Diceros bicornis minor: one gene and its partners. The protein of the gene in region 4 interacts with the protein of the main gene of each other region in a pairwise test. Links are inferred from orthologs where the notes say so. Each region holds a gene or a part of one and is shown on either strand. Other genes may lie near its edges.

Evidence for each region.
Region 1: the proteins of TXLNB (region 4) and keratin, type I cytoskeletal 15 interact in binary tests that used the Homo sapiens proteins (3 or more experiments, as listed by UniProt). The two-hybrid records come from large-scale screens. The link is inferred for Diceros bicornis minor from reciprocal best matches to the Homo sapiens genes TXLNB and KRT15.
Region 2: the proteins of TXLNB (region 4) and CT55 interact in binary tests that used the Homo sapiens proteins (3 or more experiments, as listed by UniProt). The two-hybrid records come from large-scale screens. The link is inferred for Diceros bicornis minor from reciprocal best matches to the Homo sapiens genes TXLNB and CT55.
Region 3: the proteins of TXLNB (region 4) and CEP57L1 interact in binary tests that used the Homo sapiens proteins (3 or more experiments, as listed by UniProt). The two-hybrid records come from large-scale screens. The link is inferred for Diceros bicornis minor from reciprocal best matches to the Homo sapiens genes TXLNB and CEP57L1.

What each region holds. Positions count from the first base shown.
Region 1 is NC_080757.1:40,843,695-40,851,605, reverse strand, and holds the start of keratin, type I cytoskeletal 15, read left to right. Parts: upstream 1-4,893; 5' UTR 4,894-7,911. Other genes in the region: KRT19 (keratin, type I cytoskeletal 19), read left to right, coding at 1,703-1,785, 2,018-2,174, 2,475-2,636, 2,751-2,876, 2,986-3,267.
Region 2 is NC_080781.1:123,058,371-123,065,214, forward strand, and holds the start of CT55 (cancer/testis antigen 55), read left to right. Parts: upstream 1-3,842; 5' UTR 3,843-3,911; coding exon 3,912-4,002; intron 4,003-6,844. UniProt on the Homo sapiens protein: Plays a role in spermatogenesis, possibly acting in the regulation of the autophagy pathway.
Region 3 is NC_080762.1:26,352,911-26,360,859, forward strand, and holds the start of CEP57L1 (centrosomal protein CEP57L1), read right to left. Parts: upstream 3,011-7,949; 5' UTR 3,000-3,010; coding exon 2,886-2,999; intron 1,610-2,885; coding exon of another isoform or gene 212-1,609; exon of another isoform or gene 177-211; intron 1-176. Other genes in the region: FOXO3 (forkhead box protein O3), read right to left, coding at 212-1,609. UniProt on the Homo sapiens protein: Centrosomal protein which may be required for microtubule attachment to centrosomes.
Region 4 is NC_080778.1:19,217,719-19,224,775, forward strand, and holds the start of TXLNB (beta-taxilin), read right to left. Parts: upstream 3,002-7,057; coding exon 2,563-3,001; intron 1-2,562. UniProt on the Homo sapiens protein: Promotes motor nerve regeneration. May be involved in intracellular vesicle traffic.

The DNA of each region.
Region 1 (7,911 bases), on a different chromosome or scaffold from region 4:
GGCCTGAGGGGAATCTGGGCCAGACCTGCCCCTTGGTGCCCCCGGCCTGGACCCCTCTGCATTCCTGCTCTCTGGCGGGGCAGGTCTGGTTTCCATCACGCTCAGCCTCTCCTCCCCCGCCCAGGCGGCCACACCGGAATTAAGAGGACCTCTAGGAAGCACGCGAGAGGCCAGCTGTGGCCCCTGGCCGGTTAAGGAGGGGCATATCCCGTGGCCCCTGGACAGGGTAAAGGAGGGTCTTATGCAGAGACCCGGGGAGTCCTTTGCCTGTGAAGACCTCTGTCGGGAAGACCAGGTGCAGCAGCAGTTCTCTGGGTGGAGAGTCCCTGGCTGGAGACCCCGGGTCTGAGCCACAGGTCTTCAAGGGAGGCCCTAAGGGGCATGCAGGGTGGGACTTGATCTCCACTCACAGGGAACAGCTCGGAGCTCCATCCTGAAGAAATGCGTCAGAAGCCAGTGGGACATTTAACAGCCCCACATGCTGGGTCTCCAAACACGGGGCTCCCCACAACATTGCCCAGTGCCCACCATGTTCCTGGCATGGTGCTGGTTGTCCTTGGCATAGACCGAACAGAACCCATGGACAAAGAGAGAGCTAGAGATGAAAACAACCATCCAGGATACTGCTTTCACACTTTTAAAATTGTGACCTACCATAAGTCACATTTTACTATGTACCCTCATCCTCACACATTCTCTCTCCTTCCCTCCCTTTCTCCCTCCCTCCCCCTCTCCCCCTCCCTCCCCCTCTCCCCCTCTCTCCCCCGTCCCCCTCTCCCTCCCTCTCTCTCACTCTCCCTCCCTCTCTCTCTCTCTCCCACCTCCCTCTCCCTCCCTCCCTCTCTCTCCCCCTCTCCCTCTCCCCCTCCCTCCCTCCCTCTCTCTCCCTCCCCCTCTCCCCCTCTCTCCCTCTCTCCCTCTCCCTCCCTCCCTCCCTCTCTCTCTCCCCCCCCCACACACACAATGGAAGCAAAAGCTTCTTGAAACAATCCTTACCCTGCTGTGGGTGAACCCTTCTGATAGTTGACATTCTGTTCTGTTTCATTAAAAAACTGTGCAAATCACCACCCAGTACAATGACTAACGAGTCACAACTTGTTCTTTGAAAAACACTAAACCCAAGGATCTTAATCAATGGTGTGAATACGCCCCTTAGGGGAGGGACCTCTGGTTGGGGTGAACTTGGACCAGGAATCCTGAACTTGAGTTTCCACCTCTGTAAATCAGGTGCACCCACTGACCTGGTGTGAAAGTTGAGATGCAGAGTGCCCCCACATAATAGATGCTCAACAAATGGAATTCCTTTCCCTGAGGCAGAGTGTGCTTTGGGGGGGGGGGTATAGACAAGGGTGACCCCTACACGTCCCTGCATCCGGTTTGCACATCACTTAGAGGTGCCTCTCTAAGACCGTTTAGAGTTTCCCTGGGTACGGGGTCTCAGAGACTTTCCTCCCGGTTTACCTCCCTGCCCTCCCTCGCCCATTCCCTAACCCCGGCTCAGCCTCCCCAGCAGTGGTTTCTCCTGCTCCAGCTCCTGAGCATGGACTGATTCCAAGACCTAGGGAGCAGGCCAATGGGCAGCCTGAGAGGTGGTTGGGGCTTTGGTCTCTAGGGAACGAGGGCATGCTCATTTTCTCCTCTCTCTCTTCTGGGGAGAAAGTGGGTGGGCAATGCTAGTAACCTCCTGCTTCCTGTCTTTCAGATTCTTGGGGCCACCATTGAGAACTCCAAGATTGTCCTGCAGATCGACAATGCCCGTCTGGCTGCGGATGACTTCCGCACCAAGTAAGCGCCTCTGCCCTGGAGGGCTGCAGAAGCCGGGGCAGGGAAGGAGGGGCAATCCCAGGCCCTTTTGGGGCTCAGTGCAGTGGGGGGACTGGGCCCTGCCCTCACCCACCCCAGCTGGTCTGAAGCAACTCCTCCCCCACCCCATAGACTCCTAAACCCTGGGGAGGTGGGGAAGTCTTCAGAGGTGCAGAGGAAATGCCGGCCTGACTGCAGCTATTGCCTCTGAAAGGTTTGAGACGGAGCAGGCCCTGCGTTTGAGCGTGGAGGCCGACATCAACGGCCTGCGCAGGGTGCTTGACGAGCTGACCCTGGCCAGAGCCGACCTGGAGATGCAGATTGAAGGCCTGAAGGAAGAGCTGGCCTACCTGAAGAAGAACCACGAAGAGGTGTGTTTCAAGCTGGGCCTTCCATCCTTTCCACCCTAGCTTCCCAGGGCTGAGGATATTTTTTTATGCTGTATCCTCTGACTGTCGCCATACTTGCTGCACCCTCAGCATGGCCCTGGGTGCAGAGTGTGGCTCCCAGGGTTCCAGCAGGGAGTGGTGGCAATCCAGTCTATCCCCCCATGCTGCCTCCTAGGTCTGCACCTGAAAACCAGCCCCCTTAGGCGTGGGGGCCGGGGGCGTGACCTGGCCCAGACCCAGCAGGCTCTGGGCTCTGACATGCCCACTCTGCTATCTTTCCAGGAAATCAGTGCCCTGAGGGGCCAGGTGGGTGGCCAGGTCAGTGTGGAGGTGGATTCTGCTCCAGGCGTTGACCTAGCCAAGATCCTGAGCGACATGAGAAGCCAGTATGAGGTCATGGCTGAGAAGAACCGGAAGGATGCTGAAACCTGGTTCATCAGCAAGGTATGAAGAGGGAAGCAGATGCCCTTTGGGGAGGTGATCAGGAGGGAGGGCTTGATGCTCCCAGGCAAAGTTCTGGCTCAGGGCTTATTCCTTCCACCTCCTCTCTTATTGCAGACTGAGGAGCTGAACCGGGAGGTCGCTGGCCACACAGAGCAGCTGCAGATTAGCAAGACGGAGGTCACCGACCTGCGGCGCACTCTCCAGGGCCTGGAGATCGAGCTGCAGTCTCAGCTCAGCATGGTATGTGCCCTCAAGTCCTTGCAGGCTTGGGTAGCCTGGGTGGTGGCGTGCCCATTTCCCCTCTGGGAACCATGCTCTGCTGAGTCTCCTTCCCTCTCCCTGCCCTCAGAAAGCTGCCCTGGAAGGCACGCTGGCAGAAACAGAGGCTCGCTTCGGAGCGCAGTTGGCACAGATCCAGGCTCTGATCAGTAGTATTGAAGCCCAGCTGAGCGACGTGCGTGCTGACACCGAGCGGCAGAACCAGGAGTACCAGCAGCTCATGGACATCAAGACGAGGCTGGAGCAGGAGATTGCCACCTACCGCAGCCTGCTGGAGGGCCAGGACGCCCCCACCCTGCTTGTGGGCCCGGGCCGCCCCTTTGACAAGCCGCCACCCCCCAATGCCCACTGAGTCCGGCAGCCTCCTGTGGAGGGATGCCCCTGAGTAGGGGCATGGGAGGGGAGGGATCTTTACTGTGGCTCTCCCTCTGATCTGCCAATAAAATTTTATGGCCCAAGGGAGGAAGGACATTGGGTTTGTTATTTCAGCCCATGGAGATGGGCCAGGCCTTGGCACTGTTCAGGTTTTATTTGGATCAGAGTCCACCCTGTCCAAGGAAAGGGACGGGAGTGCGCTCACAAACTCTGTTAATTGTGATTCCTGTTTGCAGAAGTCTTCGTTTATCTCACCTGTTCCCTAAAACAACCTTGTGAAATAGGCATTGCTTCCATTTTACAGAGGGGTAAACTAAGGCTCAGAGAAGTGAAGTGATTTGTTGTATGTATAACTATTCTAACACACGGCAGAGGTGGGATTTGAAACTGGTTTTGCTTCCAGATTTCGTTTTCTTTACACTGTGTTCCCCCAAGGGTTGGTGTGTGTGTGTGTGTCTGAAATTAATGTTTACTGTATACCTACTATGTGCCATTTAATCAACATAAAAAGGTAGATAGTATGAGTTACATCTTATAGAGTGGGTAAAGTAACTTGTCCAAGGCCACACAGCGACTACGTGGCAGAGCCGGGACCAGAATCTAGGGTTCCTGCTTCTCTTTTTTTTTGTTTTTGTGAGGAAGATTAGCCCTGAGCTAACATCTGTTGCCAATCCTCCTCTTTTTGCTAAGGAAGACTGGCCCTGGGCTAACATCTGTGCCCATCTTCCTCTGCTTTATATGGGATGCTGCCACTGCATGACTTGACAAGCGGTGCATCGGTGCGTGCTCGGGATCCAGAGCCCAGGCTGCTGAAGCGGAGCGCATGCTCTTAACTGCTATGCCACCGGGCTGGCCCCAGGGTTCCTGATTCTTAACCACAGTGTCACCCCTGCACCCCTGTGTCCTAGGATCCACCCTGCTTATGCCAAGTCCTCAGTACACTCCAGTCTTGCTCCATGTGAAGGCCTAGGACCAGGATCCCCTGAGGCAGTTCACTTAACTGAAGGAGGAACTGCGGCTTTGGGGTCAGAGCCTGAGTAATGGGGGGGGCAGGCATCCGCTCAGAGTAAGGCTGGAGAGGGTGCATCTGCCGGTGTGCGTGCACTAACACATTCATCCATGTCCCGGGCAGCCCTGCATAAGCCCCTATGCCCACCAGCCATGCCTGGGCCCAGAGCCTGGAATGAGACCCAGACCTCCCACACAGACCCCCAAACTGGCCTGCCTTGGGCTGGTTCCGGGCCAGCAAAGGAACGCCGGTCCCAGCTTCCTGGTACTGCTCTGCCCTCAGGTGGGTCTGGTCCTGCCCCTGTGGTTTATAGCTTGGCTGCCAAGAACTGAGGCCAATTAAGGGTAAATAAGTCCTACTTCGCCCTGGCTGAGAGATTCAGGCTGAGGGAGTCTGTTCAGGCCCTGCAGATCTGTGTGACAGCAGGCCAATCCTGTAAGGGACACTGCTCCTTCCCCCAGAAGGTCTGCTATAGGGGAACAGATTGACTCTTGGCTAAGGAGGCCCGCAAAGCCGATCCTGAAGGAGGTCCCCTTTCCGCCGTTTCCCCTGGGCCTTGGAAAAGTTTATTAGCTTGCTCCGAATCAACGAATCAACGGGTGACCCCAGAGCCCAGCTCTTCCCTCTCCCTGCTGCAGCCCTGGGCCAGGAGCCCCTTCTGCCACGTCCCCAGCTCTTCTCCAGCCTCCAGCCCCCACAGCTCCCTCTCCTACTTAACTTCTCAGGAGGCCCTGGAGCCAGAGGCCAGAGGCCTGGCCTTACTGCCAGGCTGGGACTTCCCAGGATGTTTGTCCCAGTTCATGAAAGCCTCTGTTGTTGTCACAGCTGAAACCCTCCCCTCTGCCCCGAGGCTCTTAGAATGTGGCTGTAGGTCTGGGGCTGGGCCCACACAGGTGGAGCAGGTGACTGGGTCCCAGGTTTGGGTGTCAGGAATGAAGCCCTCCTTTGTGTGTGTGTGTGTGTGTTGGGGAGGTAGGGGTGAGGACACTTTTCTGTCTCAGTCTGAGAATTGAAACTAGGGGTGCTCTGTTGACAGAAGTGGCTGGGATAGAGGAGAGGGAGAGGGGGAGAGAGAAAGGGGAAGGGGACAGGGAGGTGAGGTCTTTCCACCCCGGCTGGTCATCATGACCAGTTCAGTTTGCAAAGCATTTCCTGTCAGTTCTCTGCTCCATCCCTGTGAGTCAGACTGGGCAGGAGTTATTTCCATTTTCCGATTGGCAGACTGAGGCTCAGAGATAGGAGGCTCCATTACCCCAAGCCACATATCTAATGAATGACAAAGGAGCAATTCTCCAGGCCCCAGATCATACGCTCTCTCTGTCCCCTGCATCTCCGTGGGGAGTGGGGGAGGGGGGTAGCGGATTCTCAGGTTTATGGAGGCACCCCTCCCCATGTGCCATTAAATGCTCACTGTGGCCCTGTAGCAGGGGTCAGTGTTAGTGACTCAATTATTTTTTTTTTTTCAAATTGTCATAAAATACACGTAACAAAATTTACCATCATAATCATCTTTAAGTGTACAGTTCTGTGGCGTTAAGTACATTCACGTTGTTGTGCAACCGTCACCACCATGCATCTTCATTACTCTTCCCATCTTTTAAAACTGAAACTCTCTGCCTATTAAACAATAACTCCCCATTCTCCCTCCCCTAGGCCCTGGCAGCCACCATTACACTTTCTATCTTCATGATTTTGACTACTCTAAGGCCTTATATAAGTGGAAAAATGTCCCAATTTTAAGTCGGGAACCTGGCTCAGAGAGGTTGTCACACCCAGAGGCGGAGTCCAGCCCAGGCTCTTTCCGCTGGGCTGCATCGTCCCACCCCAAGGACAGAGGCCGGCTCTGGGGACGGCCTGTCTGTCTGCTGTGGGCAAAGGACAGAAACTGGCACAGCCTCCTGGGCGGGCTGCCAGAGGAAGGGCCTGCAGCCCAGGCTGGGCCCAAAGGAGCTGGGTCTCCGCCCGTGCAGCCATCGCCACCTGGTGCTAATGAGCAGGCCCAGCCCCACCCAGACCTAGAGCTCACAGGAGCTCTTTAGGCTGAAACCAGGGATTTGTGACCGGGGCAGCTGCTGCCTCAGGCATGGGCCTGAGAGAGGAGGGAAAGCCACCTCGAGGGGCTTCTGGAGGGGAGTCAGGGTGCAGAAGAGGGGCTGGCTGGGGTCCAGTCCTGCCTCACCCTGGGTGATGGCGCATAATTTTTTCCATGTTAATTGCTGGGCCCTAATGACTACAGAGGCTTTAATGAGCTACGGCTGATCTGAGTTTGATTATTTTTCTTTCAGAGGAAAAGACAATATCCGCCCACCCATGAGACAATACAGCACTGTCAGGGCTCAGCACTGGGATGCTCGGACGGAGGCCTGGCTCACTGAGGGACAGCCCGTCCCCACTCCCCAGGCCAGCAGAACCAACACCACCCACCCCCCCGCCCCCAGCTACCAGCTCAGATGCACGAATCTGGGGTCTGTGGGAGGGACTCTTTTTTCCTGTCCTCTGTTTAAGTGGGGTCAGAGGACCCACTGGAGTCCTAGCGATGCCCCTTACTAGCTGTGCCACCTTGCACAAACTGCTTCCCCTCTCTGAGCCCCAATTTCATTTCTTTTGAAACAGGGGCAGGGATCGTCTTCTATGTCGTGAGGATTGGAGGAGGCGATGGATGCAAAAGGGCTCTGTTAAACCGTGAAGTGTGCGGTTGAAGGTAAGGGATTACTGTTGTTACAGCAATAATGGCAACCACCTGCACTGGGTGCCCAGTGGGGCTGGCTCTGGAAGAGCAATGCTGCAGGACGAAAGTCCCTCCTGGTGAGGGTACGCGGGAGTCCCAGGTACTGGACATGCACCCTGCTATCCGGCCCCCAGAAGATGGGGAGCCAGGATGAAGCAGGATGGGGGCCCTTGGGCCTCAGGGCCTCCCCATAAGTGAGAGCTGAGAGTGCCCCTTGCCACAAGGAAACAGACTTACAGGTAACACGTCCAAGGTTTCACAAGCAGTAACCCATAGAGCCAGGATTTGAACCCAGGCCTGAGGAACACCCGAGCGCTGTCCACTTCACCGCGCTGCAGCCCTGGGCCAGGAGTCCTCTTTCATCTCCAGCTTAGTCTTGCTCACCTCCCCAGCCTCACGCCTCCAAGTGGCACTGTGCACAGGTACCAGCTACCCCTGGAAAGCTGGCCCCTGAGCTGGTGACAGAGAAAAGGGCTCTCCTGAGTGTTTGACTCCCCTCTCTGGCCTCAGCAACCTGCTCTGTGAAGTGGTGCCTTGGCCTTCAAGATCTTCGAAGTGTCTTCCAGTCTGCCCACCAGGCCTCCATATTTCCTCCCTTCCCACAACGTTCAGGCACGTAGAGCCTTCTGGGCTAGGTCCCGCTCCAGCGCCACATCACTTTGCAGGACAAATGGGGTTAATCTGGCCCAGCTATGCAGCGACATGCCTCTCCCCGGAGGAGGAGGCAGGGGCTTCCCAGAACGTGTTCCAGTTTTATCTGCAGAGGTTTGCCCCGACGTGTTCCGGGAGCAAGCAAAGGTTCAGGGACACGTGCGGTCGGCAGGTGGCGGGAGGATCAATCAGCCCCGTGTCAACCCTGAGCCTGGTGGCTTTCGTCAGAGTGC
Region 2 (6,844 bases), on a different chromosome or scaffold from region 4:
AAGAAAGAGGGACATCAAACAAATGAGGAATGAATAAACAATTCAAGGCAGTGTGTGTTAGTAGGAGACTTTCAGAGTGCTGGTATCTCTGAGCACCTAAAGTATGCCTGGGCACCTTGGCAGCTGACCCAGTGTAAAGGGCCCAAAATGAAGGCCACCAACCCCAGGGCCCACTGGGGTCTTGGGCCTTATTGTGAGAGCAACTAAAGAGTATTAGGTGAGAATCAATTCAGAAATTGCAGAGTAAGAACAAAGAAAGTTCTCAAATCAATAAGGGTTAAGTTATAGCCCTTGGGAGTCTGGGGCTATTTCTGGGGCTTGTCAGAACCAGGTAGAGACACGTCCAGCCTGAAGCAGCTTTAACAACATGGGCAAAACTAGAAACTAGAAAAAGAAGAGTGACCTGAACCCAAGGCAAGCTGAAGGAAAGAAATTGTAAAGATTAGAGCAGAAATAAATGAAATAGAGAATAGAAAAATAATGGAGAAAAATCAATAAAACCAAAAGTTTGTTCTTCGAAATGATCAAGAAAATTGATAAATGTTAAGGTAGACTGACCAAGGAAAAAGAGAGAACACACAAACGACTAAAACCAGGAATGAAAGAGAGGACGTCCCTACCTAAAAAAAGGACTATAAGAGAATTCTATGAACAATTGTATGCTAAAAAATTAGATGACCTAGATGAAATGGATAAATTCCTAGAAAGAGAAAACTATCAAAACTAACTGAAGAAGAAATAGACATTGAATTGTCTACTTCAAATAGGTGAATACTATGGTATGTGAATTATATCTCAATAAAGTTGTTATAAAAAATTAAAAATAAAACCCAAAACCCTTATAAAAAAGAAATAGAAAATCTGAGTCTACCTATAACAAGTAAAGAGATTGAATTAGTCATTAAAACACTTCTCACACTCACAAAAAAAAAAAAAAATAAGCCCAGGTCTAGATTGATTCACTGGTGAATTCTACTAATCACTTAAAGAATGAATACCAATCCTTCTCAAACTTCCAAAAAACAGAAGAAGAGGGAACACTTCCCAACTCATTTTATGAGAGTAGTATTACCCTGATACAAAAACTAGACAGAAACATCACAAGAAAAAGAAATAATAATTACAGACCAATGTCTTTATGAATATAGAAACAAAAATCCTCAAACCAATCCAGGAACATATAAAAGGATTGTACACAATGACTGTATTAGTTGGCTAGGACTGCCATAACAAAGTATCACAGACTGGGTGGCTTAAACAACGGAAATTTATTTTCTCACAATTCTGGGGGCTAGAAGTCCAAGATCAAGGTGTCAGTGAGGTTGATTTTTTCTGAGGCCTCTCTCCTTGGCCTATAGATGGTGATTTTCTCTCTGTGTCTTCATATGGTCTTCCCTCTATCTGTGTCTGTGTCAAAATTTTGTCCTATAAGGACACTAGTGATATTGGATCAGGGCCCATCCTAATGACCTCATTTTCACTTAATTACCTCTTTACAGACCCTATCTCCAAATACACTCACATTCTGAGGTACTGGGGGTTAAGACTTCAGCATATGAATTTAGGGGAACACAATTCAGCTCATAAAATAGCCAAGTGGAATTTATCCCAGGAACACAAGTTTGGTTAAACATGAAAATCGGTCAATATTGTACACCTTATTAATAGGATAAAGGCCAAAACCAGATGATCATCTCAACAGAAAAAGCAATTGACATAATTCAACATCCTTTCATGATAAAGTCACTCAAAAGACTGAGCGTAGAAAGGAAATTCCTTAACCTGATAAATGGGGAGGGAACAGCTGGGCCCACTAGATGCCCTGGATATTAAGCTGCACAGTGTCCAGGGCCAGTCGAATATGGAGATAGTGTGCACTGCCCCACACTCAGGACTTTGGGGCTATTTCTGGGGCTTGTCAGAACCAGGTAGAGATACGTCCAGCCTGCAGCAGCTTTAACAACCTTGGTAAAAATAGCAGATGTGATTGTATATGAGCTGGAGAGGGAGGGATTTTAAGGGATTTGGTGGTGGATGAGGCATTAGAGGGTCCCCAGAGAGCAGGCTGATAAGATTTCTGAGTGATGTATCTGAGGAGACCAAGAGGCAGTGGGCGGTGAGTGTGGTGTAGAAGGGGGTACTGGAGGTGAGGGACTCTGGCAACCAATGGCCCAGGAGAACTGAGAAGTTGGGATCACCTGAGGTTGAGAAGACATCCACAACAGGAGGGTTGGCGAGGTGGGGAGTGAGGCTGCCAGGCCCGGGCTTCAGAAAGCGCCATCACAGATGGGTAAATGCTTTTACTCTCCTTCACCACAGGACACTCCCTAGGGTCCAGAGCACTTGGCTGGCCAGGGCCTCCTGGAGAGAGGGAGGGTATATGGGAGGAATGCAGGGTACTGTGGGTGGGGCCTCAAGGTGCAGAAGGAAAGCCCTGGTCCTAGGAAGTGATGTGGAATGCAGGATGGATACTGGTAAGAAAAAGGGATAGAGAGGCTGATTCGGGTTTGTGTTTTATATCCCGAGACCATGAGGAGCCCTAGACTGGCCATCATGTTGAAAGAATAATACCCACTAAATTGCCTATTTGTGGGCTTTGGGAAGTGGATACTCTGCCTCTACAAGTTTTTCACAGTCTTGAGGGCACACTGGAGACATTTGACTCTTGTTTCAGACATTCTCGAGTAAATGGTCTCTACTGTTACCTAGAAATGGGGATTCTTAAAGCTACACAAATGTTTTAGAAATAGACTTTTGGTAAGTGGTACATTGAAGACAACCCAAATCCTCATTTAATATTCTTCTTCTTCTTCTTCTTCTTCTTCTTTTTTTGCTGAGGAAGATTCACCCTGAGCTAACATCTGTTGCCAATCTTCCTCTATTTTGTATGTGGGTCCCCACCTTAGCATGGCTGACAACTGGTGTTATGTCCGCCTCCGGAATTCAAACCCAGAACCCCAGCCGTAGAAGCAGAGCGTGCGGAACTTCACCACTGCGCCATGAGGCGGCTCCTAATATTCTTAATGTGACGATGTCTGCATGGTTCCCAAAAGAAAATAGTAGTGATATAATCCAAACTCCCTGCATGGTGCTACATCACCTGACCCTCCTCACCTAGCCATCCTCGACTCCAGATCACACTTAGATGTGTCTCTCAGGACCATAATGAGTGCTTTGCTATAAAGCCGCAGTTGGCCCCAGCTTCCAAGCAGAGCGGGGCACAGCCTCTGTTTTGAGACCCAAGTAGATGTGCAAGTTTGCCTTTTTCACAATATTATGATATCATTTAACATTGAACAGAAAGCCATTGCTTAGAGCTGACCACTGAACTCTCGTTGGAGTGGGTGTAGGAGCGAGGAGGTGGGGCTGTTGTGGGGTGGGTGGGTAGAGGGTGCCTAGAAGCAAAGGAAGAGAAAAGAACTCAGGCAGTGCAGTGAGGAGTGGGGGCTCGACACCTGCAAGCCAGAGCCTGGGAGCCTGCCTCCATTGTGTGGGTGAGCTGCTGCACCACCTTCCAAGAGAGGCATCAGGCCCTCCCTGCAGAAGCCTGCAGAGGAGACCCTCTACCCTGCGAGATGCAAAAAGGGGTCGGACTGGAAGAGATTTTCGGTGGGCCACCATATTTTCACCCTCGCCTGTGAAGGAGGAGCCACGAAGTCCCGCCCACCAGCCCACTGCATCTCAGTGGCCTCCACCAAGCACACTACGCCCCCATTGGCGGGATGGTGGGCACCGGAACACTGAGGATCCTCAAGTGGCAGCCGCAGTCAAGGCTTGTGTGAGGACCTCTGGCGAGAGGTTGGGCGGTGCAAAGGAGCCGGCACCATCTCTGAACTGCCGTGATCGGAGTGCAGCTGGGAGGCAGAGACTTAGAAGCAAGCCTCGCGCCCAGTGTCACACACGACGGGACCATGTTCCGGTTTATTTCCAGGGCTCTTGCCTTCTGGAGGAGAAGGGACTCGTCGGAGGGACAGAGGGCTCAGTATCTGAGGCTCTTGGAAGGTACTCAACTCATCCCCTCCCTCCCCAGGGGCCTGCACCTAGACTTGTACCCCACTCCTGGTTCTGGGCCTCAAGAGCTCAGACGGGCACTGCATGCCCGAGGCGGCGCCACTTTGTGGGGAGGGCGTCCCCGCGTCCCTGAGCTCGCCTGGCACTCTCCTGTCCGAAGTGTCGGTGGTGTAGACAGAGAAGGCCTGGCCCATAGGGAGCTGTGCCTCACCGTTGCATTTCCCCAGATGCTTTTGGAACTTACATTGTGCATATGTTATGCAAATGTGTAACAGATTGCTTCCCACATTTCCAGTAGTAATGCATCTCCCTGATTTGAGGGTACATTTGATTTTGTTTCCCAAACGGGCATATGTTTTGAAGCCAAGCGGACAGTCATATATCTCGTCGATAGGAGGGTAGGGGCTGCGTTTAACTTGCTCCCTTTGTATTCTAAAAACTTGCCCTAGATTTGGCACTGAGTGGATGACTCAAGGGACACTTTGAAGGCGTCATTTTGTTGGTGGGAATCTGTTAAAACCGAGGTTTGCTGGGGTGGTGGCGTCCCTGCTCTGAATCACGTTGATTCTGACGTGTGTTGAGTACTTGTCTGCGCCAAGCACTGGGCTTGGGCCGTGAGGGCATTCGTGTCATTTCGTCCTCAGAACCCTCCCAGGAGAGAAGCCTGGGTATCGTCAAGTCCGTTTTACAGCCGAGTCGGGGAGACACAACCAGGAACGAGAGGACACGGGGCTAGTCTCACCCAGACCCTGAGGCCCAGCAGTCACTTCCTGACCTCTGTGCTCCTGCCTCTGAGGACTTCCTTCCACGGGAGTCACTTCACAGTGTGCTCGGGATGGTCCTTTGGAAGAGACTCCTAGTCGGTCAGCATTGTTCTCTCAGCGGAGGCCTGGCCTTCCTGCTGCCGGAATCTCCCTGCAGCTTCTGTGCCGGCCGAGGCTGAAGCCCTGCAGAGGTGGCTGAGTCTTAGCTGACGTCCCCACAGAAGGCTGCTGCTTAGCTTTTAGCGTAAATCTTGCATGGCCGGGTCCACTAATTATCCTCACTTTTACCAACTGGATGACACAGGACTTACAGGTTTCTCTTGCTATCGGAAAGTAGAGCGTTCCTATGAAACCTTGCATAAGCCGAAATGGCGGAAAGCAAAGAAGCAATTACTATTAATTTGTATGGGAAAATTTTGCGAGCGTTTCCACACCCAAAAATAACCTACCAAATTAAATCAAGATAAAGCGCAGATGCTCACAGATACAGTTCAAAGCTATGGCAGCTTGATGCTGAGATACTGAGTATAGTTCCCCAGGAAGGAGTCTGGCGGCGTCACTCTTGCTGCTCGGGGTGTGCGCTGCCTCTATAATGGCTCACTGAAAAACAAACGCTGAACGCTTTTTTCCATTTTTGCCTTTTTTCATAAAAGCTAAAATCCACTTCGGATTTCTTTCAGTTAGCGAAAGCAGGTACTACTGTAGGTCTTTCGTAAAAGCGAAGTGGTGTAAATGGAACTTTCGAGTAACAGGGGAAACCCGTACAGTATTTTCATGTGCCTCAGTGGCAGTTGTCACCCTTGTTCCTTTCTTGTATTTTATTATTTCACCTGACAGATTTGACCTATTTTTTTCAAATTTTCAGGATTTTCTTGGCCTCTGATTCCATAATCTATTACGATCAAAATTTTCCCCAGCCATCCTGTCAGTTCCGCCAAGTCTTTGGGGAAGCACCTTACACCTAAGGCGTTGTCCTTCATAGTGTGGGCTCTGCAGGCTGACTCTCTAGGTTCAGATCCCAAATTATGGCTTACTAGCTGTGTTTGTTCAGAAAAAAATAAACCTGAGTGATTCAGATACACATTTGTGCTAGATTTAAATCCCAAGATCTCTTTATGTGCTTTTTGTGGTGAGATGTTTAAGAATCTCCAGATACTGCTGCTGATGCTGTTGTTGATAATGATGGAATTATATAACAATAATGGATGCTTAAAGACTGCCTAGATGCAGATACCATGACAACAACTAACATATAAGCTCTAACCTGTGGGAGACATTCACAGTTCTAAGCAGTTGATGTGTATGCATTAGTTAATATTTATAACAACCCTTTTTTCCCCAGCTTTATTGAGATATAATTGACATAAATCATTGTATAAGCTTAAGGTGTACAATGTGATTTGATATATGTATATATTGTGAAATGATTACACAGTAAAGCTAGTTAATACTTTAAGCTAGTTAATCACTTCACATAATTATCTTATTTTCTTTTTCTTTTTTTGTGAGGAAGATCAACCCTGAGCTAACATCCGCTGTAGCCAATCCTCCTCTTTTTTGCTGAGGAAGATTAGTCCTGGGCTAACTAACATCTATGCCCATCTTCCTCACTTTATATGGGGCGCCTCCACTGCGTGGCTTGACAAGCGGTGCGTCGGTGCACGCCCAGGATCCAAACATGCAGAACTCCCGGCTGCACAAGCAGAGCGCACGCACTTAACTGCTGCGCCACCGGCCCGCCCCTAATTATCTTATTTTCTGTGGTGAGAACATTTAAGATCTACTCTGTTAGGCAGACATTGTTGTTGTCCTGGGTTTACAGATGAAAACAGGTTCAGAGAGGTTAAGAAATGTGCCCAGGGTCACACAGATGGTAAGTGGAAGAGCTGAGATTCAAAACCAGGCGGTCTGGCCCCAGACTCAGTGCTCTTACCAATGGCACTGCACCGCCGGGGGCGTGGAGCCACCGTGCTCTACAGAGAAATGGTGGAACGGAATTTGAACCTAACATTCTGCCTCTAGACTCCTGCACACGTAACCACTAAGCTCTACTGTCTGTGTCATCTGTA
Region 3 (7,949 bases), on a different chromosome or scaffold from region 4:
CTATTTGTTTTGCAGGTAAAACTTGGAGATGAACTGGTTGGCGGCAGCCATGTTACTGTGCACCACCGCTCCACGGTTCTCAAATTCTCAATGTGGAGTCAAGTTCAAAGCAAATAAAAGACAGCCTCCCCCAACCATCCCCACTGGGTTATCATGCCATAGCACTGGGCACTGACCTGCTTTGCCCACTTCCCCTCTCCTCAGTGATCCTTCAGCCTGGCACCCAGCTCTGAGATGAGGCCTGCTTAGCACCAGTGAAGCTCCCCACGTTCAAACCAACAACGTTCTGTGTGGAGATGAGGGAATCAAAGTTAAAATCCAACCCATCAGCATCCATGAGTTCACTACGGATAATGGACTCCATGTCACATTCCAAGCTCCCATTGAACATGTCCAGGTCCAAGTCGCTAGGGAACTTCTCATGGCCCATGACCGGAAGGTTTGCACTAGTTGAGTACAAGGAGGAGCCTGAGAGAGAGTCTGAGAGGGTTTGCATAGACTGGCTGACAGACTGCTGCTGGTGTTTGGCTGACCCAAGGCTGCTGGAGTCGCTCAAGCCCATGTTGCTGACGGAATTCGACAAGGCACGGCTGCCACCGAGAGTGCCCTGGGTTTGGTGCTGGTGGTGGAGCAAGTTCTGATTGACCAAACTCCCTTGGTTAGGCTGGGCGGCAAAGGACATCATTGGGTCATTGCGAAGCATCACGTTCCGGCGGGAGTTCTGGGCAGACACAGCGGTGCTGGCCTGAGACATCAAGGGGTCTGACTGGGTCATCATGACATCACTGTGGCTGAGTGAGTCCGAAGTGAGCAGGTCCTGGAGTGTCTGGTTGCCATAGTGTGACATGGAAGAGAAGGTAGCTGGCTTGTTCTCTTGGATGGTCTGCATGGGAGACTGACGCAGAGAATTCAGAGACGAGGGTCCGAACACCGTGCTGTTAAAGGAGCTGGTGGGAGAGCCCAGGCCGGAGCCCTTGGTGGTGTATGGGAAGCTAGAGCTCCGCTGCATGAGCCCTCCGGGGGGCGATGGCTGGGACGATGGGAGCGTGATGTTATCCAACAGGTCATCCATGAGGTTGTCAGCCAGCCCATCATTCAGATTCATGGTGCCCGCCATGTCGGTCAGCCGTGGCAGCTCCACGGTGCATGGCTTGCTTACAGAGGGTGAGAGGCTGGCTGAGCTGCTGTAGAGCATGGGGGAAAGCGGCGCATCATCATCCTGGACATCATCCAACTCTGTGCTTGCCAGGATGGGTGACAGGCGGCCGCTGACTGTGCTGGCATTGGAATTGGTGCGTGAGCGGAAGTCCGTCCATGCATCCAGCTCATCGCTGCTGCGTGATGTGGGGCTGCCAGGCCACTTGGAGAGCTGGGAGGGACTGTCGTCTGCTGGCTCGGGGGCTGTCTGCAGGGCTGCCTTCTTCTTGGCTGCACGGCCACGGCTCTTGGTGTACTTGTTGCTGTTGTCCATGGAGACGGCCCGCCGCCGGGGTGCCTTCCCGCTCTTCCCCCCATCAGGGTTGATGATCCACCAAGAGCTCTTGCCAGTCCCCTCATTCTGGACCCGCATGAACCGGCTATGCAGCGACAGGTTGTGCCGGATAGAGTTCTGCAGAGAGAAGGGAAAATGCAGAAGATGAGCCTGAATGTTGCAAACTGAGTACCGAGAAGAAACAGTTAATCGGACTCATTTTTTAAAAACTCCTCAATTTCAGAGGCTTAAAAAAAAAAAAAAAAGACAAACAGCTGCAGGACCCGCCTTGGCTTGGAGTTAAATGACAACATTGTAAACGGCAAGTTTTATATTTAGGAGGTGGGTGATGGTTTCATATCCAGGAGATGCTGGGAATGTATAAGCTCACTGACATTGTTTTCCCCAAATTCCTAAGTTTTGCTGTCCTTTCTGTAATTGTATTTCCTATTCTGAAGTTCACACTTATAATTTATTACCACACCACCCTCTCCCCGCACTTCGCCACACACCTCCCTGGCTCTAGGATAATGAATCACCCAGGGGCTATTTATTCTCTCATCGTCCCCTCTTCCACCAGCATAGAAGCAGCATCTACCTTTTCTTAACTTCTATGAGCTCAGAACTGGAGTGCATTTTTAACCTATCCTTTCTATGATTCCGTCTCCTCCTGCCACAATGTCATACCTGTCTGGCAGGCTTAAGGAAAAAATGGCAGCAATGACAGAAGAAGCAGGCAAATCTCCCATTCAGAAAAATTCCAAATAATTTATAGATACTCTCCCCTCAAGGCAATGTGGTCTGAGCATAGTTAACTTCCTTCCAAAGAGAACAGTACAAAAAGGCGGGAAAAGAGTTACTGTACACTGAAGAAAACCGACCAACACTCTTTCAGCCAGGTGACCAAGGGGAACATCAACAGGATAAGTCATGGTGATGACATGCATTCAAATAATGTGATGAAAATGGCACCTTCCTTCCAAAATCCATCACTCCAGTCTAACCAGGAGAAAACCAGACAAATCCCAATTAAGGGACATTTATACAATGCCTGTCCAGTACTCCTCAAGACTATCAGAGCCAAGAGGAGCCTACAGAAGCATGATGACCAAACATAATGTGGTATCCTGGGTGGGAGGCTGGAACAAAAAAAGGACATTAGGTAAAAATGAAGGAAGTCTGAATAAACTAGGGACTTTAGTTAATAATAATGTGTCAATATTGGTTCATTCATTGTGACAAATGTACCAAGCTAACAGATGTTAACAATATGGGAAAACAATGTTGGGTATATGAGAACTCTCTGTTCTAGTTTTGCAACTTTTCTGTAAATCTGAAACTCTTCTAAATTAAAAGGTTTATTAAAAAAGAAAAGAGAGGGCCGGCCTGGTGGCACAAGCAGTTAAGCGCGCACGCTCCGCTGCGGCGGTCCAGGGTTCGCCGGTTCGGATCCCGGGCGTGCACCGATGCACCGCTTGTCAAGCCATGCTGTGGCGGCGTCCCATATAAAGTAGAGGAAGATGGGCATGGATGTTAGCCCAGGGCCAGTCTTTCTCAGCTAAAAAAGAGGAGGATTGGCAGATATTAGCTCAGGACTGATTTTCCTCACAAAAAAAGAAAAGAGAAATAGGGAAAAATAGCTTCAAAACACTAATGACTACACCCATCTTGCAAGAATCCTCCTCCTGGCTTGGTAGATAAGCCCAGTTGACAGCATGACCCAGATCCAGTCCCATCTCTGTCTGTGACCAACCATGTGACCTTGAGCAAATCACTTAACCCATCTGCAATAACTCCAGTTCTCCATCTTCATTACAGCCCTAATAGCATCCAAATCACCCCTCCCTGACAGGGATGACGTAAGGATGATATATGATAAGATACTTTAGGAGCCAGTCACGTACGAAATCAGAGTGTTCTTACGCTATTAGAAAGCACCGAGTCCCTGGTGGAGAGAGCTCACCACCTGTGCGAGCTCCTTTTAATCTGTAAAATGCCTCACGTGGAATAAGAGAGAGGAGTCGATGGATTCTCCACATCTGGAACAGCACCTGCAGGCCAGATGAGTTTTTATTTGCAAGTTAAAGACATAAGATGTTGCCTGATGCTGTGCATTAAATACGAACAATCCTAAAAGTTCCCATAGTTTTAAAAAAATTGGCAATCGCCAACTGTATTTATGTAGAAGATACAAATACATGTGTTCTACCAGAATGTTTTTAAAACACAGCAAGTCAGCGGGATGTTACCATAAGTAAATAACCCAAAATACTCACAGTACCTCCCACGTCTATGTTTCTGTGCAAGGAAGGCCTACAGTTCAGGCTGGGCAGTGAGCGTCAACAACCGTGGGTCAAAAGTTGGCATTTCTACGGTGGCCATAAAGATGCATTTGTGAGAAGCAAACAGGCAACAGGCCTGTATCTGATGAGACAAATGTTGCCCAGGAGACTATATATCCTGCTTCCCTTTCACTCGTATGGTTCTTAAAAGAATAATGGCATCTCTACTAATGGTTCAGAAATTACATTTCTTTAAAAAGTAAAACACTGTCTCTGTAAAATGGATTTGAAGCATGCTCTTAAAACTCACTTGGTGGGATTCACAAAGCAGGCAAGTGCAAGGTGGTTCTACTATTGAGTATTCACACGACTAGATATATTAAACAAAAACTTAAGCTTCATCTTCTTGGTGGAAAAATAGGCTGAGGCTATGCGGGGCCACGTGGACACTGGTCCAGTCACCCCCACCCTGGCCAGGCCCCTCTGCTCCAGATTTTGGAAAGAGTTCAGACCAACATTCAGAATTAACAATGACCAATCATAAGTATCCAGTTATCCTCCTTTTAAAAAGCATTTAGGGAACAATATTTCTTAAAAATGTATTTTTAATTTAACCAATTCCAAACTGAGAAAAAAAAAAAAGAAATAATTTAGAGATCTCCAAAATGCCCTGTATGAATTTTCTAATGGTCATCTATTACTACAACTCTAAACCCCGACAATGTATACGTGTAATTTTATAAAATGAAAAGCTACAATTGGTTAAAATTTGGAGATAAAAATTAAGCTTCTGTAAGGGTACATGGTAGAGGGGCTGGCATCCCCATACCTAGGAACAGATCTGCAGGGGTCAGAGCCCAGGCCCTAACTTCCAGGGTGAAGAACGGAGAGCCTGCCTGATTACAGCACCAGCAGGTACTGGGCCATAGGCTTTAGATTCATTGTCTCTAATCCTCATAACAAACCTGCAAAGTTGGCATCAGTGCCCTCATCATATATCTTAAGACTCAGGCTGAGAGATGATATTAAATAACTCACACAAGGTCACACAGCTAGTGTCTATAAGAACCAAAGGTCTGTCACCAAATTATGTAGAAGTCATTGTTTAACCTATCTGTGCTAACATTTAAAGAAACAAACATTTATGAAAGAAAGATACAAAAGCACAATCTTATTACTGCAATTTTGTTTACAAAATAGTTAGGGGTAATAATTTGGTGGGTCTTTTCTAAAATTAAAAAAAAAAAAAAAAATTTAAAAGAAAGCCTGTCTTTCAGAAGAGCAAACCTATAAGTGAAGGCTCACTTGAGCAGATGCTTTCTTTGCTAAGGTGCCCACCACAGCATTCACTCTAAGGAGAGGGCAGTGGTTACCATTCTGAAACAAAACCCAACTTATTACACGGGTGATTAGCTTCGGTGTCCAATATTTGCTCTATTCTTGTTTTAGAGGTTATTAGTGGCAGAATACATTCCCTGAGGTGTATTACCTACACAACACTCAGACAGGTTTTTCCAGTTACATTACTGAGACAACACAAACAGAAACTGTGCCACCACCATCCTCATAGTCCCCTTTCTTAGCAGCCTTCTATCCATACAGGCTGGCCAGCCTTCCATTTACAAAATCCATTATCTGAAGGCAGGGCATTGACAGAAGCTAACAAATATGGCCCCTCACTCTGACAAGGTCAGATGCCAGAACTGTATTCTGGTTTCCCTCATAGGTCGTGATTCTAATCACTAGCTTCTCTATCTAAATTTTGGTGAAGCAGGAAAAGGTAAATAAATAAATGCTGGATAAAATGTCAGAACTGCAATGTTTCTCCACACCTTCCCTGATGACAAAAACTAATGATGATATGATTTCTGTAAGATTTCAAACTGCTCCTCCCTCACCTCAATCCCAGGAATAAAGAAGTGGGATTTATAAAAATAGGCAAGCCAACTGTAAAATCCTCTTATGATTTATAGTTTAAGTTTTCTAAAGACCTCTCCATTAGGCTCTGTCAATTAGTCTCTAATGTACTATGTGTATTTTAAACTATAAAACTACCAGATTAAAAATATTCTATGGTTTTCCACTAATTCATATATCATCTTACCAAATAGTCTAAATTTCTAAGATTTTACATTAGTTTGGGGATCAGGAGCTGAAGGTAAAGGAGGAATGGTTTGATAGGACTAGAGTGGTTTTTCTGATCACATCTAAATACACATTTTGAAACACCTTGTGAGGCAGGCCAATGTTAATTGGCTGAAGTACCAGGGATGTGCTCTCCTTAAGGCTAAGGCGAAAAGGTAAATATTACCAACCAAGACTCCTATTGCTAGAGCTCAGGCCATTCTGTCATCAAGTTTACTAACTAAAGGCACCAAGAAGCAACTATAACCTCAACCCCAGACCATGTTGAATAGTTCCGGTTAGTCAAATCCACTACCAAGAAATCAGGATACTGATGAATTACAAGAAAGCACCATCTTTAGAAAGAAACTTGAGCTTCAGGGATAAATATACCAGTTTTTCTCCAACATGGATCCAAAGATTTAGGGAACCCTTAAAGCAACTCCATCACAACGTGTCTGAAGAGAGAGCAGAGATAAGAATACTCTTCATCTCATTTTTATGTCATTTTCTCTTTACTTACTTACTTTTTTTGGTGAGAAAGATTAGTCCTGAGCTAACATCTGTTGCCAATCCTCTCCTTGTTGCTGACAATGACTGGCTCTGGGCTAACATCCGTGCCCATCTTCCTCTACTTTATATGTGGGACGCCTGCCACAGTACGGCTTGATAAGCTGTGCGTAGGTCCGCACTGGGGATCCGAACCTGCGAACCCCGGGCCACTGAAGCAGAGTGTGCAAACTTAACCACTATGCCACCAGGCCAGCCCCCTCAATCTTCTCTTTTACAAAACCATTTACACAGAAGCAAGCTCTGCTCTGGGACAGAAATTAGGTGTAGTTAATTAGTAACAACTGGCTAAATGGTGTCCTTTGTGATTGCAGTTGCAATTAGTGGCCTAATATTTCAAGGTATGTGCAGCAGTGTGTAGGAGGCAGCATGAGGCAACTCTCCTTCCACAGTCACGCTATGCTTACTGTGGTTCATGTGGGCCACAGGCTAGGGATCCCTTCGCTTGGCCCTCCTCGAAGAAATTAGCATCAAGATGACTGTACACATCAGAATCTGGTAATTATTTTTCTTGCTATACTGAAGGCAGCTGTCTACTGCAAGATGCATTTATTGCTAATGCTAAAGTGCACATAGTGATTACATATATGCCAACTGGTTGTGAAGACAGATGGACCCAAAACAGATCAGATTAGGTGTTGGAGAGAAGCTGCCTGAAACGAAAAAGTATTCCACCAATACTTTACAAAGTGGATAATTCACACATGCATTTAAGGAGGCCAACGGAGGGAGGCAGCGTGATGCCGAAGAAAGACCGCAGGCTTTGATGTCAGCCAGATCCGAGTCGGAATCCTGGCCCTGGCATTTGTCCTGCGACCTTGGGCAAATGACTTAACCTTGGTTGCCCCTTTCATAAAATGGGGATAAAAACACCCTCTCTGCCTAACTCTAGGATATTTGGAAAGAGTAAATGAAATTGCGCATGCAGAGTACTCATTGGAGTGCCAAGCACAAAAGAGGCTCTCAACTGTCAGATCCCACATACGGAAGCAGTGACATCACAAATGTTCACTTACTGTTTTCCGAGCACCATATACTTTAAGCCAAAAGGTGTGAGGGCGGCTCCTTCCAGGAAAAGATTTCAAACTCTTAAAAGAATTTCAAAGATGCTGTGCCAGTCAGGAGTAACTGGTAATTTCTTAACTGTTGCTACCCTGTGTCCGCTTCAGCCCCTTCCAAACTGTGTTTACCGTGTGGAGACTGTCCACCAACCCAGACACCAGCTGCATGTGCTTCCCCTGGAACACAGAGAGGGTTTTGTCTGGAAGCAACATGTGGTATCAATTTATCTTTTTCAGCAACAGCAACAAGGAATCCACTGACTTTAAAAATAAAAAGGGAGTTGTGTAATTTAACTCTTAAAGGCTCTTGCCCTTTTCTTTTTTTTTTAAAAGACAGCCTTTTCTTCTTTTTTTTTCTGCTGTCTCAAAAGCAGCAAAATGAGAATTATGGTTGTCAACACTCAAGCCAGACCCACTGCTTCCCACCAGGCAGACTGCAGG
Region 4 (7,057 bases):
CTGTGTTCAGGAAACAGCATTTTTGACAAATTCTGTACTTGATTCTAGTGCACACTTAAGTTTGAAAATCATTGGTCTAGACGATGGTGCAGTGTCATTTAATTGATAAACAGCCAAGAAGCCTGCTCAAGTCCCTTGCGGACAACTGAAATAATATTGTCATATTTTGATTAGCCTAAAAATGTTGTTTTAATTCATAATGTAGCTGAAATGGTACAGTGTTTAGAAGAATATGCTGATAGTATTCAGAGAAATGCCAAGGAAGGGTCAGCAGTTTACACACATGTAATTAGGTGGACCCACCTGGGCGCTCTGATACACAAACATTGGTTCTGATCAAACACATTCAATTGAAATTTGGTAACCTGTAGATAGTGGCAGAACTAAAGTTGTGGAGTTTTTTCTTTCTCTAAAATATTTTGATTATTGGTAATTATAAGGTTACCATAGATTTTGAAATAATTCAGGGAAGACAGAGTAGTGGTCATCTTGAACTTTACCTCTGCTTTCTTCATATCCATGCCCCCAAGACAACACATACAGATTCCTATATAGAAGTAGTTTTAGAGTGATAAGCAAAAGAACTTTCCTGGTTAGGTACACTTGAAATCATTCATCTCTGCCACGTGACTTTGTGTTGTCTTATGGAAAGTTTAACAATGACAAATGCAAAGGGATATTGCTGAGATGCTTTTGATAGAGAAGGAAAAATGGCTCTGTAAAACAAAGCAACTTCATTCTCTTTCCCAGAGTTCCAGAACACTAGAGTGATGCTAATCTTGCGATTTGGAATTTGGTATTAGTTGGGTTATTTTAATCTTTACGCTGGGTAGGTCAGGTGTGCTATTTGAATGTGCCTTTCAGCCCTTCTTGAAAGTATTGCCAACAATGGGTTTTAAGCATCATAGTGATGTCCTATGTCAGCATAGACATACTTTTGGGTTTACAGATAACCTGTTACTGGAGTCTGAACCCAGTTCTCACTCCAGTACCTGTGATCCTTCACTCTGCCACACTGTCTTCCAGAAATGAGTAAGACATGGTCACTGCCCTTGATAGATTCTCCATCCAGCTTGGGAAGTAGGCATGTAAATAAAAGATTACTGTAGAAAAATTAATGGAGAACTAAGGAAGGCGATGCTTCCTCTACCTGGGCATGTCAGAGAATGTATCACAGAGGTGGCATTTGTAGAGAGTGCTACAGGGAAATTCACCAAGGAAGGAAGACAGAGGGACTCTCATGTGTGCAGTAACATGCTTTCACTCGTAGCTAGAGAACTAACTCTCTCACCCTCTTTCACAGCCATTTTTGGTGTAAACAATCCACCATGCTCTCCTAACAATTTTCATGTGCCTGTTCTCACACTGCCCTATGTAACAACTAGTTTGCATGTTTGTTTCTCTCTCCATACCTAGAGTGCCTTAACCAAACGGTCTTGAAGATTTATTTATCTTTGTGCACCTAGCACAGTACCTCATGAAGACTAGACATTAATGAATATTTTGCTGAACCAATTAACTAACCAGAGTAAAAATATTTTCTGCAATTTTTGACATTCTATAATTGATACATTTCCTAAGTTTTGTTAAATAAAAGAATATATAGTAATGGAACATACTACTAAGTGATCTAATTGACAATCATTTTATATACAGAACCATCCCTATATTTATATTTTGTTTAAATCCAGATTCCACTAGCTTTGCTTTAAACAGTTTTCCTTTCATTCATTCACTCATTCATTCATCCTAATAACAAACATTTATTGAGCATCTAACATATGCCATCCACTGTTCTAGACACCAGGCATCCAGTGATATCCAAATATACACAGTCTCTGCTCTTGAGGTAAAAGAGCTGATGGGGAAGTCATGCATGAACCAAATAATCACAGAAGTAAATGCATACTCTCAAATGCTGATAGACACTAGGAAGGGAAGATGCATGGTGCAATAGAAACAGAAAACAGGAAGACTTTATCTAAGGTTGGGCTAAAAAGATGCCATTTGAGTTGTGAGCTGAAAAATGAGTTAAGTGTCCAAAGGGCTGAACTGGGGAATGGGCAGGAATTTCTAGGTGGAGAAAATAGGAGGGACCCAGGCCCTGTAAGTGATGGAGCATGGCATGTTCAAAGAACATGTTTCAGTTCAAAGAACTGAAAGAGAAGTTCAGAATGTCTAGCTGTTAGGCTGTAGCAGTGGTGGTGGTGACAGGGGCAGAGTGTCCAGGAAGGGGACGTTGTGGGGTAAAGTGATGGGACACAAAGCTGGAGAGATGCTTAAGGCCTGAAAGACCGTATTAAGAATTCTGGCCTTTGTCCTAAGAGCAGTGGGAAGCCATTGAGGACAGAGGGTAGGTGGGTGACATGTTGAAAGTTCACTTTAACTCTATCTAGGGGAAACGCCTGGGGACAAGTACAGTAAGAGAAGATGCAGGGAGATCCTAAAGGAAGCTATTGTAGTAATCCAAATATGACATGTGGCTTCTAGTAAAGGCTAGAGGAAGTGCCCCTTTTAGGAATAATTCAAAGAAAAGTCATACATTAGAACATAACTACTTGCCTAATCCTTTTAGGATTTTCTTTTCCAATTTTTGCTCTTTATTGCTGGCAGGCTCTTTGGCTGTGAGGGGCTCTCCAGAAGCCACGGGTTCTCTCTCCGTCACTTCAGTGGCCTCCTCGCCATCCCCGTCCTCATTGTCAGGTGGTTCTGGGTTCTCAGGCTGTTCCTGGGCCTTGGTGGGACCCCCTTTCCCTGCCGTGCCGGCAGTAGGCCCGTACGTGTTGATGATGTCTTCCAGTTGTCGATTCAACTCTTCAGAGATATCATGAGCTCCCTGCTCAGGCTGCACACCTGCCTCCTCCTCTGATGCTCGGAGTGGGGTTGAGGAAGCCTGATCATCTTGCTTCTCCAGGTCATTTTGAGCGGGTAATGATGAAATGTCCCCAGGAGGTGTCGATTGGGGGTCCCCCGGGAGTGGCACAGAGTGATTCGTCTCCATACCGGGAGTAGAATCTAGTGGAAGCCCAGCAGGTTTTATGTAGTTAACCTAGTTAAATGTAAATGGTAAGGATAGCCTCAAACGGATACCTACTAATTACAGTTTCTAACATAGAGTGAATGTACTTTCACAAACCATCAATATTGCAATTAAGTAGGTAGGAACAGTAGGAAGCCATTTTTCCAAATTGGGTCTTTTAGCATACTTTGGTGTTGGTCTTTTTGGTGGACATATTTGTCATTTTGCTTAGAATAGCCCATTTGTGTTGCAATTCTCATATAATTCTATGTTGATTTACAGTCATTGGAAGTACATGGATGTATACATTTAAAATGTTTAAATTTTAAATGTTGTTTTTTTCAAAGTTAAAACATTTAATGCAAAATCCATTGAACTTACTAAAATTATTCATAACAATAACATTCCTAAACTATTTTAATCTATAAATGAAGGTTTGATTAATATGAGTACATTGATGTAAATGAATTATTATACTGGTTACAGGAGATACTTTGTTGCTTTTCTGGTATTTTCCTTTTCCCAGATGAGTAACGTGTAATTATCAATCAGGAAAACACTATTCTTGAGGTTCAAACTAGCATCGTTTTTGAAATAAGACAGAAAATGAGGGAAGATATAAGTTAACACACAAACTAGTATGAAAACATGGTGATACTCATAATAATAATTCCTTGAATTTCTATAACGTATTTTTTGTTCCAATATAAAAACTAACTTTCTTTTAGAAAAAAACATTGCAACCTTCCCTTCTCAGTCAAGAAGCCCTAGGATAAGTTAATTTTTAAGAAATAGCAATGTTTAATGAACAGGGAGGGAATGAACTAGGGAAATAACCCAGATATAATATGGGCTCTTTGGAAATAGGGGATAAGGGACTAGCTGAGTCAAGGGTTCTAGAGTTTATGGCTATTGCCATTTCTAGGGTTGTAATAGATTTGGCTTAGGCCTTTAAGTTATGGTGCGTTTCATTTGTAAGTGATATTTAATGGTGATGCTGCTAATTAGCAGCATAAAAATATGACAGGGTCCTCATAATGCACAGGTTTTGCTGCTGTGTGGCTTGAGAGCGAAAACAAAAACACACTGTTCTGTGCACTGCACAGCTTCCTCCCCCCAGCCTCAGGGCAGCTGATGTCAAATGCTTGAACACCAAGAACAGAAAACTCAACATACAGACATTGCCACCCACTTGTGACCCCCAGCAAGGACTCATTAACTTAGAAGGAAGTGCTTTTTCTCTCGCCCATCTTAATTCACCACCTTTATTATCAAATGATGCAGTAGACAGCTTCACTGTCTCCATCACTGCAATCTCTTTATCCCGACACTTACTTGTTGGGCACACTCATCTATATATAACTTACGCCTCCCCTGAACTTGGAGAGAGACACACGGCACCTGCTGTCCAGCCAGGAGTTATTTTAAGCTCTTCTAAAAGGAGCCCTGGCATTTAGCACTTCATCTTTGAAAATCAAAGGAAGAGAATACTTTTTAATACAAATTGAAAACAGCAAACATTTACTGGTTTAAATCCAGATGTGGGTTTTAAAGTGTTAGGAGGCTTCTTAGGATGAAATAAAATCTAAAGTTAACCAAACTTCAAAGCAAGGAATTTAAACTGATTGTCTAGAGGAGTTTTAGTGTCGTTAGTCTAAATGCAAGTGTTTTGTTTGTATTTGATCTATTCTTCATTCATCAGAGGCCATAATCATTGATGTTTTTTCTACTAATTCCGTGGATATCCTTTAAACTCATGTTCCACATTTGCTTTAAAATAGAATAACTGAGTTGTTATAAACCACAGGACAACTCAATTCGTAAAAGTAGCCTCAAGATAAATCAACAAGAGGAAAAAAACAAAATCCAACACCTCTGTTACTTTTAAATTGTCTCCTTCCATGTTGATTAATTTAGCAAGAAATTATTTCTAAATTTTATCTTCTATAAACTTTATTGCCTGTCTTTTTTGTCCTCTGAGAGAATTTTTCACGTGTACTGGCAGTCCCAGCAGATTATCACACACACGTCCCTTCCTGAGCAACACAGTTTAATTATAAATACAACAATGGAAAGTTCTTCAACAGTTCACTGGCAATCTCAAAGGTGCAAGTTTCGAACACCACAAACCGCACCCAACACCTTCTCACAGGGCTTGGGGGAGTGTTTGTCACACTTACCAGAAGGCAAGGAGCTGAGCAGAAAGAGAAAGGAGAGGCAAGAGGCAGCAGAAAGCTAGTCAAAGCAGCAGCAACAGCAGGAGACAGGCGGGCAGCTGTGTTCTTACAGGGGAGAGAGACCAAACACACACACACACACACACACACACGCACACACACACACAGGCACCGAGGCCGCAGGAGAGCAGGGAGGGGGCGGGGAGGGTAGAGGCACATCCTATGACACAGCAAGAGAGAAATACACCCAAGCTTCTGTAGCAGTCTCCTGGGCAAATGTCTCAGAAAAGAGGAGCAGCTGATAGATCTTATCAGACTCCCCATGTTTCATCCTTTTGAAAATGTAAACTCTCAGTATACAGCCTCTTTGCTAGCACGATTTTTCACCATTGTTGTTCTTTTGGGCAGAGATCGGTTTTTCTTATTTCTTGGTTCATTTCCAGTGTGGTTTCTGATTCATCTCCTTTTTTTCCCCTCTTACGCTAGCCTAATTAGTGTCAGGTTTCTTAAAGGAATCATGGAAAACAAAAAACAATGGCATAACAAAAAGGAGGTGCTAGAACTACTTTTATTCTGATGTCATTGTTTGGTTTGTTTGTAAAATTTGAAATAAAAATTTAGACGGTTATTTAGGCTGTGGGTTTCGTGTCATTTTCACGTTCATGGTAACTGGAGGGACCTCTGATCCCACCTCTTACTCAGGTGACTGCCTTCTAGTCTCAGGTACTGCCTTCCCATCTCAGGTAAGCCCTGGGGGAGGCAGTCTGCTTTTTCTTCCTTAGTTGGAGGCTTTCCCACCGTACACACCCAAGACTCCCCACCTCCAAGACTTGGAAGCTTTTCCAAGTCTTTCCCACTGTTTCCAAGCTCTCAACCTGCTCCTTAATTCTCCCCAGGAAAAGCACCTCCTCCTCATTCACCATAAAATGCCTCTTTCTTTTAACCTGCATCCACTCCCCTTTTCTTTCTGTTTCTGGAGAACGTGTTCCCATACTTTGCAAAGCAGATTCCTCCATCAGTGTCTGCTCTTGGTACAGGCTGGGCATTGTGACACCCCCCTTGTGGTAGGCAGAATAATGCTATCTGAAAGATTTTCACATCCTAGTCTCCTGAACCTGTGAATATGTTACTTTACATGGTGAAAGAGACTTTGCAGGTGTGATTAAGTTAGAGATATAAGGGATCATGAGATGGGGGGATTATCCAGAATTATCCGGGTGGGCTGAATGTAATCAGAAGGGTCCTTACAAAGGAAAGAGGAAAGCAGGAGGGTCAGAGTCAGAAAAGGAGAGTTGATGACTCCAAAAGAGGTCGGAGTGACGTGGGGCCACAAGCCAAGGAATGCGGGAAGTTTCTAGAAGCTGGGAAAGGCAAGGAAATGGATTCTTCTCAAGATCTTCCCAAAGAAATGCAGTTCTACCGACATCGTGATTTTAGCCCAGTGAAACTCATTTTGGATTTCTGACTTCCACACTGTAAAATAATAAATTTGTGTTGTTTTTAAGCCACTAGATTTGTGGTAAATTGTCACAGTAGCAAGGGGAAACGAAAATATTCCACCCCCAAACATTTTCCCAACCCTTTCTCCAAGTTCAGAGTAGGCATAAGTTATGTATAGATGAGTATACCCAACACGTAGAGGTCAGGATAAAGAAATTCCAGTGATGAAGAGAGTGAAGCTGTTTATTGCACCATTTGGTAATAAAGTTGGTGAATTAAAATGGGTGAGAGAAAAAGCATTTCCTTCCAAGTTAACGAGTCCTTGCTGAGGGCCGCAAGTACATGGCATTCCATATTGGATTATAGCAAACCGACTCAGTCAGATTGCTCAGTAAATGCAAACAGTAGGTCAGCACTTCTC